3 linked regions of the Callithrix jacchus genome follow. The protein of the gene in region 3 interacts with the protein of the main gene of each other region in a pairwise test. Links are inferred from orthologs where the notes say so. Each region holds a gene or a part of one and is shown on either strand. Other genes may lie near its edges.

Region 1 (5,095 bases), on a different chromosome or scaffold from region 3:
TTAAGAGACAGAGTCTCGATCTGTCTCCCAGGCTGGAGTGCAGTGCCTCGATCTCGGCTCACTGCAACCTCTGCCTCCTAAGTAGCTGGGATTACAGGTGCCCGCCACCATGCCCGGCTAATTTTTTGTGTGTTTTTAGTAGAGATGAGGTTTCACCATCTTGGCCAGGATCCACTCACCTTTGCCTCCCAAAGTGCTGAGATTACAGGAGTGAGCCACCATGCCCAGCCGAGCATCTCCATTTCTAACCAGCTCCTGGTAATGCAGTTGGTCTACCAGCCACAGAAAGGAAGCTTCAGTTAAAGGAAGTTCCATGCATCAACTATGCAATTTCAGATGCCTTCAAGTAAAATCAACCTGATGAAATTTAAAAACATTTCCAAGCTCACCCTAACCCTGAAATAGATTCTCATTCCAACCAATTTCGGGAAGGGAGGGGCCAGTTAGTTTTAAAATTTCCATTTCAAATTATTAGAGCCGGGATGTTGGCTCATGCGTGTTATCCCAGCACTCTGCAAGGCTGAGGCAGGACGACTGCTTGAAGTCAGGAGTTTAAGACCATAAGACCAGTCTGGTCAACAGAGGGAGACCCTGTCTCTAAAAACATTTTAAAAATTAATAATCAGGCAGGTGTGGTGCTGTGTGCCTGTAAAGCTACAGATGATTACTTTAAATATTTGAGCAGATAACTTAAATACTTTAATAATGTAAATATTTAAAGAGACAATTATGTTTTAGTTTGTTAACACTGTGGTGAGTGATGATCCCGCCCCTATACTCCTGCCTGGGTGAGTGAGTGAGATCCTGGCTCTCAAAAAAAAAAAAATTAGAAAAATGAGGTCTGGCACGGTGGCTCACACCTGTGATACCAGCACTTTGTAAGGCCAAGATGGAAGAAGCAATCGCTTAAACCCATGAGTGACCGACCAACCTAGGCGGCACAGTGAGACCCTGTCTCTACCAAAAATTTAAACCTTAGCCAGGTGTGCTGGCAGACACCTGTTAGTCCCAGCTACTCAGGAGGCTGAGGTGAGAGGATCGCTTGAGCCCAGGAGGCTGCAGCTGCTGTGAGTTGCGATGGCGCCACCGCACTTCAGCCCGGCGCCAGAGCAAAACCCATCAACACTGAAACTCTCCCAAAGAAAAAAACAGATTAGAAAAGTGAGTGAAATGGCCCAAGACCATAGAGTAAGTTACTAGAAAAGCTGGTGGCATCTTAGAAATACAAATCAGAGTTTATGGGAAAAGTTTTATATTTTTAATGAAAAAGACTTAGAACGATGTATTATTTACATGTAAATAAGAAAAGAGAGCAGAATCCCCATATCTTCTTCGGAGGAAGGGAGAGGGCAGACCATTTATGAGAAGAGAGTTCACATCAACCCCACTCAACAGAAGCTGGACCTAAATGCTTTCAAACAGGAATACACAGCAGGTGAGCAGTCTCCACTCATCCTCACAGATCAGCGGCTTCAGATCAGATCAGCGGCTTCAGATCAGATCAGCAACTGAAAGTGAAGATACAGATAAGGAACAATACAAACAAAATGAAAACTCCTAACGTCAATTTAGCTAAAACTTCACAACAGACTTCTCAAAACAAAAGACAGGCCAGGCATAGTGGCTCCTGCCTGTAATCCCAAACACATTAGGAGGCCGAGGAAGGCAGATAGATCACTTGAGGCCAGGAGTTCAAAACCAGCCTGGCCAACATGATGAAACCCTGTCTCTAAAAATACAAAAATTAGCTGGCTGTGGTGGCCAGCGCCTGTAATCCTAGCTGCTAAAAATGCTGAAGTGGGAGAATCACTTGAAACCAAGAGGCAGAGGTTGCAGTGAGCTGAGATAGCGCCATTGCACTCCAGCCTGGGTGACAGTGTGAAACTCCAATTCAAACAAACCAACTCAAGGGCTACAAACTGAAAGTAGGCAGGTTCCCTCTGTAGTTACAATTACGGTAACGCTGAACGACTTCCTACCGTTCATAGGCATCTCATCGATCTGAGTGGAATAGTACTGCTCGATGTCTCTGAGGATGCGAATGTCGTCATTCTTCACAAAGTTAATGGCCACACCCTTCCGGCCATACCGACCTGATCTCCCAATTCTTCAAGAATCGAACAATATTACAGTTAGTATATATAGCAATAAAGATGCAGTAAATGTGTCAACAGAAGTGAAGCCAATGAAAACTTGCACCCCTACCTGTGTATATACAATTCTCTGTTATTGGGCAGATCGTAGTTAATGATGAGAGACACCTGAGGGACATCCAACCCCCTGGCCCAGACGTCTGTAGAAATGAGCACTCGGCTGCAAAAAAGAAAGACTGTTTAAGGCGATCAAATTACTCATGAAAGTGTAAGACTGGCCTTGCTTCCACTGCTCATTTTAAGAAGCCTGGCTACAAATCCAGAATGTATGAGGTCACCCCTCATACCAGTCTGCAAACATGAAGCCTCAGGGACAGCACCAGAAACCCCTGTGCAGAGAGGCTGTTGCTGCATCTAGTTACTTCGGACATGTGCTCCATGAGATAAAAAAAAGACATCTTTTACTATACTACCTTTTTAACTTATTTACTTGGTCCTAAACCAGGATTTGGGAAAAATATTTTACTTCTGCCTAGCAAAAAATTAAGAACAGTAAGTTCGGTTAGGCATGGTGGCTCATGCCTGTAACCCCAGCACTTTGGGAGGCCAACGCAGGCAGATCAGCTGAGGTCAGCAGTTCAAAACGAGCCTGGCCAACATGGTGAAACCCCGTCTCTACTAAAAGTACAAAAAAAAATTAGCCATTTCAGGCTACTCGGCAGGCTGAGGCATGGGAATCACATTAAACCAGGAGGCAGAGGCTATAGTGAACCAAGATTGTGCCAATGTTCCCCAGCCTGGGTACACACAGCACATTTCTTCAGCTGACCACAAGGTGGGCCGAGAAGGAAGTCTGAATCAAATTCTGATGACTGAAACCACACAATCCACGCTATCTGACCACTAAGGAATTCAACTAATCAGAAAAATGAACACAAAACCACTCCTTATTTGGAAGAGAAGACACGCCCTTGTAACCAAGGTGACCAACCTGGCTGGTTAAGGCTAGTTACCAGATCACCCTCAGTATTACAGGAGCAGAGCAGACCACCCCGTTAGCGGGAAGGCATTCTGCTGACCCAGGGCCTCGGCTCTGGAGCAGGCACATCATCTCCCCAGGCCTGGGCCCTGCCCGGAAGCAGTGCACATAAACTGCCTGCCATACAATCCAGCAAACCCTGAGCAGCAGAGCCGCAGAGCACAGCTGACCGACCTGGCGCCTGACCGGAACTCCTTCATGATGGACTCCCGCTCTTTCTGGGGCATGTCTCCATGCATCGAGGACACGGTGAAGTTGGCTTCTCTCATTTTCTCCGTCAGCCAGTCCACCTACAAATGCCAAACCACAGATGTGCATTCAGGATTTTACCTCCACCATCTGCTGAACCAGTGTCAATATTCATAGGTAACTGCTCCTAAAACTCAGAATCATCTTAACTGGATGTGCAAAAAACACCTTTCCCCAGAAAATGTTCGGGTGCCCCTACAAAACCCTCTTCATTTTCTCCACATGATGATTCTATGGGGCAAGGGGCCAGGTCTGCTCATTCTCATTTGAAATTTAAGTTTAAATTCCAATCTTGTTAGAATGTAGCCCAACTCCTTTCCTTTCTCAGGAGAGTGGCCGAGAGTTCTCAGGTCTGCCTCCAAATGAGCATCACCTAGGGATCTGAAACCACTCAGGCCTGGGTTCCACCTTAAACCAACAAAATCTGCGTCTTTCAGGTGGCTGACGTTGTCGTCGTTCTGTAAATAAAGTTTGAATGGTCACAGCCACGTCTGACCGTTTGCATACTGTCTACAGCTGCTTTCCCAAGAGACCACGTATCCTGGAAGCTTAAAATATGGACAAACTGGCCCTTTACTGAAAAAGCTTGATCTAAGTCATTAAGAGACTCAGTCTTCAATTTCCCTTCAAGCACCTGGAGGCAGTATAATGCGTCTTACCTTCCTTTTGGTGTTGCAGAAGATGACCGCCTGAGTGATGGTCAGTGTGTCATAAAGGTCACACAGAGTATCAAATTTCCACTCTTCTCTCTCCACTGCCACGAAAAACTGCTTGATGCCTTCCAGAGTCAATTCATCACTGAAGGACAAAGACAAATCCTGTCACACACTAGGACTGAGGGCAGGCCAGGCTCTAGGGAGACCCCGGTGGAGAAGGTCACACCCTGATACCTGGCGCAGACCCAGCCCTGTCCCCCATCCTGCCTCCATTCTATGCCCTACTCAACATTTCACAATGTGCACCACGTGAAATGATTCTAACTAAAACATGATAAGTAAATACCATCACCCAATGTTTAAATTTGGGATTACTGGTTCAAAGCAGAATGAGTATTATAAAAACTGGTTTTCTGTTTGGTTTTGTTTGAGACAGGGTCTGTTGCCTTGGCTGAAGTGCAGTGGCACGATCACAGCTCACTGTAGCCTCAACCTCCTGGCCTCAATTGATCCTCCCACCTCAGCCTTCTGAGTAGCTTCGACTACAGGCGTGAACCACCAGACCTGGCTAACTTTTTATTATTTGTAGAGATGGCGTCTCCCTATACTGCCCAAGATAGTATTTGGTTTTTCAAAACACAAATTTTAAAAGAACTTGCATGCTTTAAATTCCTTTACCTCCGGCAGTGTGGCCTGAGGCCCAGATTTTGATACAAGCCTCAGCAATACAGCAAGACCCTGGCTACAAAAGGTTTTTGAAATTATGACATAAAACTCTTTATACATGCGGGCCAGTGTTTAGTAACACTTGACACAAGGGGCGCCTACCGTTTCACCAAGATGCGGATTGGGTCGGTCATGAACTTGTTTGTCATCTCCAGAATCTCGTGTGGCAGCGTGGCACTGATGAGCACCACCTGTGTGGCTGGAGGCAGGTACCTGTACACGTCGTAAATCTGCTCTTTGAAACCTGGGACAGGGAGCAGGACAGGTGAGGGATGTTTAGGATGGCACAGCCAGAAATGGAACGTGCACACCACGTGTTCCCACTGGGTTAG
Region 2 (6,084 bases), on a different chromosome or scaffold from region 3:
TTTTTTTTTTTTTTTTTTTGAGATGGAGTCTTGCTCTATTGCCCAGACTTGATTGCAGTGACACAATACCAGCTCACTGCAACCTCCACCTCACAAGTAGCTGGGATTACAGGTACCTGCCACCACATCTGGCTAATTTTTCTATTTTTAGTAGAGATGGCATTTCACCATGTTGACCAGGTTGGTCTTGAACTCCTGACCTCAGGTGATCTATCTGCCCCCACCGCAACCCACCTCGGCCTCCCAAAGTGCTGGGATTGCAGGAGGTGGGAGCCACCATGCCTGGCCTTCAGTTTTAGATTTTATGAGATGCTTTTCTTTGGCAGTTGAATCAGTTTTAGCAGATGTCCTGTTCTTATAGGTGAAAACTATTTTGCCAGTTGTATATAAACAAAAGGCGTATCCAATTTATAGTGATATTAATAAAATGGAGCACTCCATCTGTCTTTGGATACCCATGTCAAAACTCACCTCAGAATCACTACTACTTAAAAATTTAAGATTAATGGTAATCCTCTAATTTTCAGATATTGCAGACTTTTTAAACCATTATTAGTGGCATTTTTACTTGGCGAAAATTTTAGAAAGTCACTGGGGGAAAACTTAATGTTCATCCACTGACCAGAACAAGCTGTAATAATCACTTGGGCCGATTGTTTCATATGTCACAAAGCAGCCATGAAAGGGCTTTACAAACACAGCTGTTATCACCTTGGTTGCTTAGTAACTGGAGTTACTCTGGTCCTCCCTTTTCATTCTCCCAGTGCCTTCCCAACTTTGCAGCATTAACAGGACATTAGCTAGGTATTCCAAGTGTGGAACAGAAGGGACTGAGGTCAGGGAGGTGAATTTGCATTCTGTCTAGTCTTAACGTTTAATTACCTAGGTAATACCAGCTGAGAAAATCGATGGAGTACTTGCTGCTTGTCAGAGTGGCTCTTTCGACAAACTAGAAGCTGTGGTCAAGGTAAAGTCAGCTTACTAACTTTTGGGCAAGGAGTATTAAGTGATCATTACCAAAAACACTTTTTTTTAATTATAGGACTTAATAGACGAGGGTCATGCAGCAACTCAGCTTGTCAGTCAACTCCACGATGTGGTTGTAGAGAACAACTTACCTGATAAACAGAAGTCCATTATTACAGAAAAACTTGCTGTAAGTAGGTACTTTGCACATGTCAATGAAACATTTATACTTGAAGGATGCTAATTTCTGAGTTTTTCTTGCAGGAAGCTGACAAATGCCTAGCAGATGGTGCCGATGAACATTTGCAACTGATCAGCCTTTGTGCAACTGTGATGCAGCAGTTATCTCAGAACTGTTAGCGTCAATTTCTTTGTTTGCAAATAGAGGTTATAAAAATAAAATGACCAAAAAGCACCTTTAAAGTGAATATACAATTTATTTAACATTCAAACTTCATTAAGACATGTGCAATATGGCAATTTAACTGGGGATTAAACCCTACCTAGGATGATTGCTTGCTGGGGCTTAGCAACAGGGTCCAGTTCACACTTAGCACTAATTAAATACTTTATTGAATAAATACAATACCAAACAAAATGCAGTCAAATGCTTTCTAAAAAAAAATTTTAAAGGCCTTTCTACTCAGGCTAATGACAAACACAATAAAGGCAGATATGCTAGTTTAACATAATTGGCTGATTTTATACAGCACTTATATCTTTTAGTCCACAAGTAGATTATTAAATGATAGAGAACATCTAATACAACCATTTCTACAGAACTAGGAAATAAATTTCTAAGAAAGAAAGATTTTACAGACCCCATCTTTTATACCCACCCCAACAGTCTAACTCTAAAGAGGATAAAGCCAATGACTTTCCTCACAAGAGCTCACGACTAATGTCGCTTTGCTATCAAAATCTGTATTTCTGATCCGTTATGAGCATTGAGACAAGATTCAAATATTCCCAAAGAAAGAAGCACAATGCACGTTGTGATCGCCTATTCAGCAACAGCGAGCACTGCATCCAAAACTCTCATCCCAGGAATTAAATAAGATCAGCCACATTCATGGGCATCTCCTCCACTGTAGTATTGTAGAAAGTCTCAATGTCACGAAGAATCCTCTTGTCTTCTTCGGTAACAAAGTTTATAGCCACACCTTTCCTCCCAAATCGACCCCCTCTGCCAATTCTGTGTAAGAAAAAAGAAACCACAGTCAGAATGTTACTTCTCATGTAATTATAAACTACTGAACATGACGATCCACTTGTTAACCATCAGCTGCTGTTTACTTATCAAGGTTATAGTTCGTGCTTCTAACTGGAGCACTAGCTGCTAATATCTAGAGAAAAAAATCTTCCTTTGCAGTTAGTGCCAAAAGGATTCAAGGCTTGTCTGGCTGCAAAATGAGATTTTATCAGGCATCTTGAGCATTATTACAAAGCAGATGACAGTATTGTGTTTGGGGTAGTGAAATTAAAGCCCATACCAAAGTGGGCCAGCCAAGAGCAGGTGTCAGCCTGGGACAGATGTAAACACCAGGAATAAAACAAAGAGCAGTTATGTAATCCATTTCGACGCACCTCTGGAACTGTAAACTGTAAACAAATGCTGCAAAGGTTAACTATATTCTAAAACTTACTTTTTTCCAGTGGGAAAACAATTACTTGGTATGGTAACCCAAACTTAATCACTGCTTTTTTGCTCAGTTTCACACGTTGTAACTCAAGTTACTCAAAACGTGTTTAACCTCCAAAATAGCTACCTTCCATGTTAGAAACCAGACAATACAAACCACCTAATAGGAAAGGTTCCCTAATAGAAATACTAATAAAATGCCTTAGCTGGAACAACTTAAAGTAATCAAATAATCATGACAAAAGAAAAACAAATATAAATACCGACTCGCTCTTTATTCAAACAGTGTGCTGTTTCGCTTATGATTCCACGTCCTAAATTACGTCAACGCCGTTTCTGAGTGCCATCTCGTCATCAACTGCTGCTATCGACTCCTGTATTTTTTAAAAAGTCTTTTTTTACATCATATAACAAAGTACAATTCAATTTATTTAGGGATAAAGCCACTATAACTAAACCAGGGTTCACTCAAACTGCTATCAGGCGACACCACGAAAATCCCAACTATAAAAAAATCACCAAGAAAAAGCACATGAAAACAAGAACATCACTAAAAGCTCAAGCATAAACTAAGACCAACAACTGTGGGGAGTAAAAAACCTATGTCCACAATCGGGGCAATGTTTACAAGTTTTCCCACTTTGTTCTCTTCGGCCTTCCCTAGTACAAATTTAATTACATCTTACTGAACACTATTGACTTTACTCAATCTATTCCTTGATTTGACATGTACTCTTTCATACAAACCACATTAGAAAAACAAAGTTTTTTCCAATACAGCCAAGATGCTGGCTTCTCACCTGTGAATATAGTTTTCACGATTGGTAGGGAGATCATAATTTATAACCAAAGACACTTGTTGCACATCAATCCCGCGAGCCTGAAACACAATGGCATATGTTAAAAATTATAATCCAAAAAACTGAACACCTACCTAATAATGTAGGCCACAGAATAGTAGCGAACTATAATAAGTGGTACAGTCCACTGTGGAGTGTGGTCATTTATTCTTCCAATAGCCCAACCTGGTAAAGGTTACTTAATAAACCTTCCCCCCAAAAAGTTAACTTTTGGTAGATTTTTAAGAAGCACTGAGACTTACCAACAAGTCAGTAGTTATCAGAACACGGCTTGACCCTGATCGGAATTCCCTCATGATAACATCTCTCTCCTTCTGGTCCATGTCACCATGCTGCAAATTAATAAACCTTAATTCAAGAATCACCAGTCAGGTCAGTATTTAATTCTAATTAACATGTATGAGACCAAGCGTCCCTGGCTGCTACAAGGAGAATAGCAGACAGGTATAGTTAAGAAACAACGTTATTTTAAGCAGGGGGAACGACAACACAGCACTTAACAGCTATATTGTAGTCTAAATCCTGCTTTAGTGGAAATCTAGACATTTTAATTTAGAAAACCTCTTACCAGAGCAGAAACTGTGAAGTCTCTGGCATGCATTTTCTCAGTCAGCCAGTCCACCTTGCGCCTTGTATTGAGAAAAATAACAGCCTGTGTAATGGTCAGTGTCTCATACAAGTCACAAAGTGTATCCAACTTCCATTCCTATGTTTAGAAGAGAAAATTAACAGTCATTTAGTTTCCAACTTTCTTCAGTTAAAAATTCATTCTGGCCCTAGTTCAAATCCAGATGCCCCTGTCCCCAGTGTTTAAAAAAAAAAGAATTCACTCTGGTGCAGGTATGGTAGCTTATACCTGTACTCCCAGCACTTTGGAAAGCAGGCGGATCACTTCAGCCCAGGAAGTTCCAGACCACCCTGGCTAAGATAGTGATACCCTGTCTCCACCAAAAATACCAAAATTAACCAGTCTTGTAATACAGAAATTTTAGAAATTAAATTTATTCTGTAGGTCTAATGAGCTATTGCACCAAATCTTAAGACAAAGGACACTGGACATTAAGAAAGAGGTCCACCCGAGTCTTTACAATCTAGTGCTGTTACTTTTCTTCTTGTGTGTACTCTGCTAGCATTATTGCAAAAACCAAGATACAGTCCTAGTATCTGCAATTTTAGCACAGTGCTTATACAAGAAGGCAAAATAACATCTAACAATCAGACAGTTACCTCTCTCTCAACATTAATATAAAACTGTTTGATTCCTTCAAGGGTCAATTCTTCCTTTTTCACCAGAATTCGAATTGGATCTCTCATGAATTTTTTGGTCACTTCCAACACATCAGTTGGCATTGTGGCAGAAAGCAACACAACCTTAAAGAGAGACAATTATGTTGAAGCACAGCTTACACAGTAATACCCAAAGGACGATTGTCTTATTATGGTATGTAGTTAAGACAGAAATAGTTATGCATCAAGTGCTTTAAGCAGGGGGAACGACAATAAAACATGCCAGATGTATTTGTAACAGCACCTGCATTAAACCACATCTCTTTAAGAGAGGGGTGAAGTAATCCTTACCTGAATACTTGTATTTAGTTTTTGGAAAATCTCATAGATTTGATCCTTAAACCCACGACTCAACATTTCATCTGCTTCATCCAAAACAAACATTTTGATCCATTTTGGAGCTGTTAGAAAAAGGCCATATGTCATCTCTAGATCTACTGGGTGATAGTACGACTTTTCAACTATGTAACAGTTAAAAAAAAAAAGCATACATTTAAAGACAATACTTACAAAGGTATCTTCTGTTTAACATATCAAACACTCTCCCAGGGGTACCAACAACAATATGTGGTGCTTCAGCCTGCAGTTTTTGCATTTCATTTCGAACATTTGTTCCACCAATGCAGGCATGGCAAGTTGCTCCCATATAGTCTCCAAGTGCCAGAATTACCTTTTGGATCTAAAAACCAAGGCTTAATTATTATCCTGCAGAATTCCAGGGTCAATGACTAATTTTTAAAGCATAATGGCAAATATAATCTGGTCTGCCAACAGCTTTTATGCATGCACAGCACAAATCTACTTCCAAGCTTAAAATGCACACTGACCTAACTGCTTCAATGTAAAATTCCCTTTATGTCTTTCTTGTGCCTTGTCAGACTTGGGATGCTGTTGCCCCACACATCAGCTAGACAATTCAAGAATAACATTTCCTACATTATTCTTCACTGTGTGAACGAAGGAATCCATAGTGAAATATATGTTCTGTAATTACAGCTAGGGCAAATGTTGATTTTTTTCTTCCCCAGAGAGTATTGTGCCCTACATAATCTTGACCTCAATAAAGCCTACAGCTTTATTAGGAAGGTTTACTTCAAAGCCAATATAGCAGTGAGCTTTGAAAACATAGCATGCAACAGATGCATCACAAACTACGGAGACAGTCAAATGGTAACATGTCACTGCAGTTTTCATGTTGCACAACTGCATTCAAACTTAAAAAATGGGGACAGATCTAGTATATCCAGAGAGCTTCCGATTCTCAAGCTATTCATGTACAACCCTACAAACCGTACCTGCATACCCAGTTCTTTTAAAACTTTCAACAAA
Region 3 (4,637 bases):
GGTATTTAAAAATCCTTTATTTTTAATAGGGCACACTAAATAAAGCATTTTGGTCACAACCCAGGATGCATGCATTATAAACCTACTTGTAGATTCAGACACACTGAAGCATCGCATTTGAATCATAATTATGAACCATTTAAAAATTGGAGATTTATTTTTTAATTATGAAAAATTCTGTTAATAGTACCATGTCCAGTCTGTGTATTATTAGCTGTTTGTTACCTACTATTTCATTATATTGGGATGAGAGCAGATAATCCTGTAGGCAAGCACACTTTTTTAAAAGTTAGGAATTCTAACACATCTCAACTTTTAAATCTAATAGATTGATATGCTGCTGAAAGAATATTTACTCTCTGGAGATATATCTGAAGCTGAACATTGCCTTAAGGAACTGGAAGTACCTCATTTTCACCATGAGCTTGTATATGAAGTAAGATTACCTTGCCATATCTAAAAGAATTAAGTATTTCATGTTGTACCACAGTGATTTATGCTTTTTTAAATAATATACATCTTTTTAATGTCAAAGGAGGAATTGGTTTTTAAATTTTTATGATTACAAAAGGCATCTGGTACATTTTAGGAGCAGTTTTGTCTATGAATAACCAAAAATTCACTCATTCGTTCATTCAATTTTTAGGCTATTATAATGGTTTTAGAGTCAACTGGAGAAAGTACATTTAAGATGATTTTGGATTTATTAAAGTCCCTTTGGATGTCTTCTACCATTACTGTAGACCAAATGAAAAGAGTAAGTATAACATTATTTTTGAATAATTTTTAGGATTATGCTTTCAATATATGATTGAATAAAGATTATTAATTGTCAATGAAATTTTCTTTAGGTATATTTAGTGTTATTATGCCTATATGTTTTGTGTTTTCTTAATAGTAATGTTTGAGGTTTGAATCTTTTGCAACCATTTCTTGGAAATTAACACTGCAGTGGGTTTTCTACCTACTTTAACAAATGTGATTATGTACTCTACCTCAAAGGTTCAGTTTCTAAGATGTGACAAGTTCTATTTTATATCTAGAGAGAAACATGAACTTTTAACACATTATAAAGTACTTTTTTCCTATTTAAAATTTTATGTATTGTTGTTTAAATGTTGGTCAGGTTTTTACTTTTTTTGCCTTGTATTTTTTTTAAAGATACTAAATGTATATAGAGAAGTAGATGGCAAAGGAGTTTGCTCAGTATCTGATGTCTGCCTGCAGCTCTTTTGAGAGAACAGTATTTAACATTTTTTTCGCTATGTAACCAATTTTACTTATTATATTTTTAATTTTAGATATCAGAGGGGTATATGTGCAGGTTTGTTAGATGGGTATATTGTGTGATGCTGAGGTTTGGGCTTCTAATTAATGATCCTGTCCCTCAGGTAGCAAACATAGTACCTGATAGGTAGTTTTCAACTCTTGTCCTCTTTCCCTGTCCCCGCTTTTGAAATTCCCAATGTTTATTGCTTCCATCTTCATGTCTCTGTGTACCCAGTGTTTAGCTCCCACTTATAAGTGAGAACATGCATTACTTGGTTTTATGTTTATGATAATTTTCTTAGGGTAATGGCCTGCAGCTGCATTCACGTTGCTGCACAGTACATGATTTCATTCTTTTTTATGGCTGGGTAGCATTCCATGGGCGTATATGTACCACATTTTGTCTAATCTGCCATTGATGGGCACTTGAGTTGACTCCATGTCTTTGCTCTTGTGAATAGTACCCAATAAATATACAAATGTAGGTGTCATTCTGGTAGAATGATTTCTTTTCCTTTGGGTATACACCCAGTAATGGGATTGTTGGGTTGAATGGCAATTCTGTCTTGAGTTCTTTGAGAAATCTCCGAACCATTTTCTACAGGGGCTGCATTCCCACCAACAGTGTATAAGCCTTCTGTTTTCTCTACAACTTGCCAATGTCTGTTATTTCCTGACTTTAATAAAGAGAACAGTTTTAAAGTAAAATAGTGTAACAAATCTACTACTTTCTGTGCTTCTCGGGATTCAAATCTGGCTTCAGTTTAACCATATGAACATTTGGCCTTAAATGTAGATTGATGACATAGTGATGGGTTGTGTTTTATGACACGTATTATATGGGCTAACAGTTCTTTGTGTAATTTCATTGTTGTAGGGTTATGAGAGAATTTACAATGAAATTCCGGACATTAATCTGGATGTCCCACATTCATACTCTGTACTGGAGCGGTTTGTAGAAGAATGTTTTCAAGTTGGAATAATTTCCAAACAACTCAGAGATCTTTGTCCTTCAAGGTACTTTATTTAAATACTACTTTCTCAATATTAAATAGTGGATGAGGTCTTTGGGAAGGTTAAGGGCTAAGATAGTTTATCATTCCAGCTCTTTAAGAAAAATATCTTCCCTTAAGTTACTGAAGAGCGTGACTCGTGTTTGTTTTGAGTTCATGGAAAAACAAGGGCGAAGCTTGTTTTAGCCCCCTTGTAAATCTGTACAGGACTGCCTCATGAAGTCCCAGTTCATTTGAAGGAAACTAATTTTGTGGAGCAGTTCCTTTGTTACAAGTAGTTTCAGTGTTATTTTAGAGTAGGTATTATCAGTAATAAGATGAGAAAATTGAGGCTTAGGAAGGTATAATGTACTTTTTCTGAGGTCACATGGCTAGTATGTGGTAAAAGCCAAGTATGAATCCAGGACTTTTCTGGCTTTAAAGATCTAGGCTGTTATCTGTACTGTATGTGGCTTCCTTGACTTCTTTACAGGTTGGAGAATTGAGGCTAATTGGATGTTCTCACTGGAAAGTGGGTCTATGTGTGGATGTTCTCACTGCAAAGTGTGTGGGTGTGTGGGGATGTTCTCACTGGAAAGTGTATGTGTGGGTGTATGTGGGGATGTTCTCACTGGAAAGTGTATATGTGGGTGTATGTGGGGATGTTCTCACTGGAAAGTGGGTGTGTGGTTGTGTGTGGGGATGTTCTCACTGGAAAGTGTATGTGTGGGTGTATGTGGGGATGTTCTCACTGGAAAGTGGGTGTGTGGTTGTGTGTGGGGATGTTCTCACTGGAAAGTGTATGTGTGGGTGTATGTGGGGATGTTCTCACTGGAAAGTGTATGTGTGGGTGTATGTGGGGATGTTCTCACTGGAAAGTGGGTGTGTGGTTGTGTGTGGGGATGTTCTCACTGGAAAGTGTATGTGTGGGTGTATGTGGGGATGTTCTCACTGGAAAGTGTATATGTGGGTGTATGTGGGGATGTTCTCACTGGAAAGTGGGTGTGTGGTTGTGTGTGGGGATGTTCTCACTGGAAAGTGTATGTGTGGGTGTATGTGGGGATGTTCTCACTGGAAAGTGGGTGTGTGGGTGTGTGTGGGGATGTTCTCACTGGAAAGTGTATATGTGGGTGTATGTGGGGATGTTCTCACTGGAAAGTGGGTGTGTGGTTGTGTGTGGGGATGTTCTCACTGGAAAGTGTATATGTGGGTGTATGTGGGGATGTTCTCACTGGAAAGTGTATGTGTGGGTGTATGTGGGGATGTTCTCACTGGAAAGTGTATGTGTGGGTGTATGTGGGGATGTTCTCACTGGAAAGTGTATATGTGGGTGTATGTGGGGATGTTCTCACTGGAAAGTGTATGTGTGGGTGTATGTGGGGATGTTCTCACTGGAAAGTGTATGTGTGGGTGTATGTGGGGATGTTCTCACTGGAAAGTGTATGTGTGGGTGTATGTGGGGATGTTCTCACTGGAAAGTGGGTGTGTGGTTGTGTGTGGGGATGTTCTCACTGGAAAGTGTATATGTGGGTGTATGTGGGGATGTTCTCACTGGAAAGTGTATGTGTGGGTGTATGTGGGGATGTTCTCACTGGAAAGTGTATGTGTGGGTGTATGTGGGGATGTTCTCACTGGAAAGTGTATGTGTGGGTGTATGTGGGGATGTTCTCACTGGAAAGTGGGTGTGTGGTTGTGTGTGGGGATGTTCTCACTGGAAAGTGTGTGGCCAGTACCCTGGCATTGGCCTTTTGAAAGTTTTTCAGCCTCTGTTTCAAAGTCTGTGTGGCTTTATTCTCAAGGGTCACATGAGGAGATAACTAAACTTTCTGTTTATACATACCATACTGCTTTGACTTTTGTCCTTTATCTTTTAGCCTATTTGGGTGAGGTGCATATTTGTGTGTGGTTTTGCATGCTTGTGCATACTGGCCTGCAGTCAGAGAGTAAGGGCTAATGTTGCCCAAGTTCTATTTCCCACTTACTGTTTTAGGCCACTGTCCAGCTGTTCCTTCTGGGCTGTTGCTACTACATGTAGCTGGAGTGTGGGCTTATATATTATAGAGCAGGGCTTCTAAATGGAGCATAGGCTATAATTCTGATTTGTTTTTCCCACATTCAAGTTACCGTTTTTCTATAGCTGATACAAGATTTTTTTAAATTGTCAAACATGGATATTTTGATAGATTCCACAGCTCCAGTTTGCATAATTCTGAATTATGTTAGTGTTTCCTATTTGGCTCACTGTTAAGTTTACAGATAATAATAATGTAGAAATAAATATTAAACTTCTAAATAAAATAAAATGTTTGCTTTAGTTTGACATCAACTTTTTAAATGTGATTATTTGGATAGTGCTAAAAAAAACAAACTCAGATT

The links.
Region 1: the proteins of PDCD4 (region 3) and EIF4A3 interact in binary tests that used the Homo sapiens proteins (3 or more experiments, as listed by UniProt). The two-hybrid records come from large-scale screens. The link is inferred for Callithrix jacchus from reciprocal best matches to the Homo sapiens genes PDCD4 and EIF4A3.
Region 2: the proteins of PDCD4 (region 3) and EIF4A2 interact in binary tests that used the Homo sapiens proteins (3 or more experiments, as listed by UniProt). The two-hybrid records come from large-scale screens. The link is inferred for Callithrix jacchus from reciprocal best matches to the Homo sapiens genes PDCD4 and EIF4A2.

Annotation. Positions count from the first base shown.
Region 1 is NC_133506.1:135,876,758-135,881,852, forward strand, and holds the end of EIF4A3 (eukaryotic initiation factor 4A-III), read right to left. Parts: intron 5,008-5,095; coding exon 4,866-5,007; intron 4,180-4,865; coding exon 4,041-4,179; intron 3,423-4,040; coding exon 3,307-3,422; intron 2,314-3,306; coding exon 2,206-2,313; intron 2,108-2,205; coding exon 1,980-2,107; intron 1,509-1,979; coding exon 1,492-1,508; 3' UTR 1,236-1,491; downstream 1-1,235. UniProt on the Homo sapiens protein: ATP-dependent RNA helicase. Involved in pre-mRNA splicing as component of the spliceosome. Core component of the splicing-dependent multiprotein exon junction complex (EJC) deposited at splice junctions on mRNAs.
Region 2 is NC_133516.1:15,754,094-15,760,177, reverse strand, and holds the end of EIF4A2 (eukaryotic initiation factor 4A-II), read right to left. Parts: intron 5,435-6,084; coding exon 5,266-5,434; intron 5,157-5,265; coding exon 5,047-5,156; intron 4,840-5,046; coding exon 4,696-4,839; intron 4,667-4,695; exon of another isoform or gene 4,489-4,666; intron 4,175-4,488; coding exon 4,037-4,174; intron 3,997-4,036; exon of another isoform or gene 3,864-3,996; intron 3,801-3,863; coding exon 3,711-3,800; intron 3,686-3,710; exon of another isoform or gene 3,548-3,685; intron 3,489-3,547; coding exon 3,409-3,488; intron 2,983-3,408; exon of another isoform or gene 2,872-2,982; intron 2,162-2,871; coding exon 2,017-2,161; 3' UTR 1,384-2,016; downstream 1-1,383. Other genes in the region: RFC4 (replication factor C subunit 4), read left to right, coding at 887-967, 1,043-1,156, 1,231-1,326. UniProt on the Homo sapiens protein: ATP-dependent RNA helicase which is a subunit of the eIF4F complex involved in cap recognition and is required for mRNA binding to ribosome.
Region 3 is NC_133513.1:103,837,937-103,842,573, forward strand, and holds part of PDCD4 (programmed cell death protein 4), read left to right. Parts: intron 1-328; coding exon 329-436; intron 437-646; coding exon 647-757; intron 758-2,146; coding exon 2,147-2,286; intron 2,287-4,637. UniProt on the Homo sapiens protein: Inhibits translation initiation and cap-dependent translation. May excert its function by hindering the interaction between EIF4A1 and EIF4G. Inhibits the helicase activity of EIF4A. Modulates the activation of JUN kinase.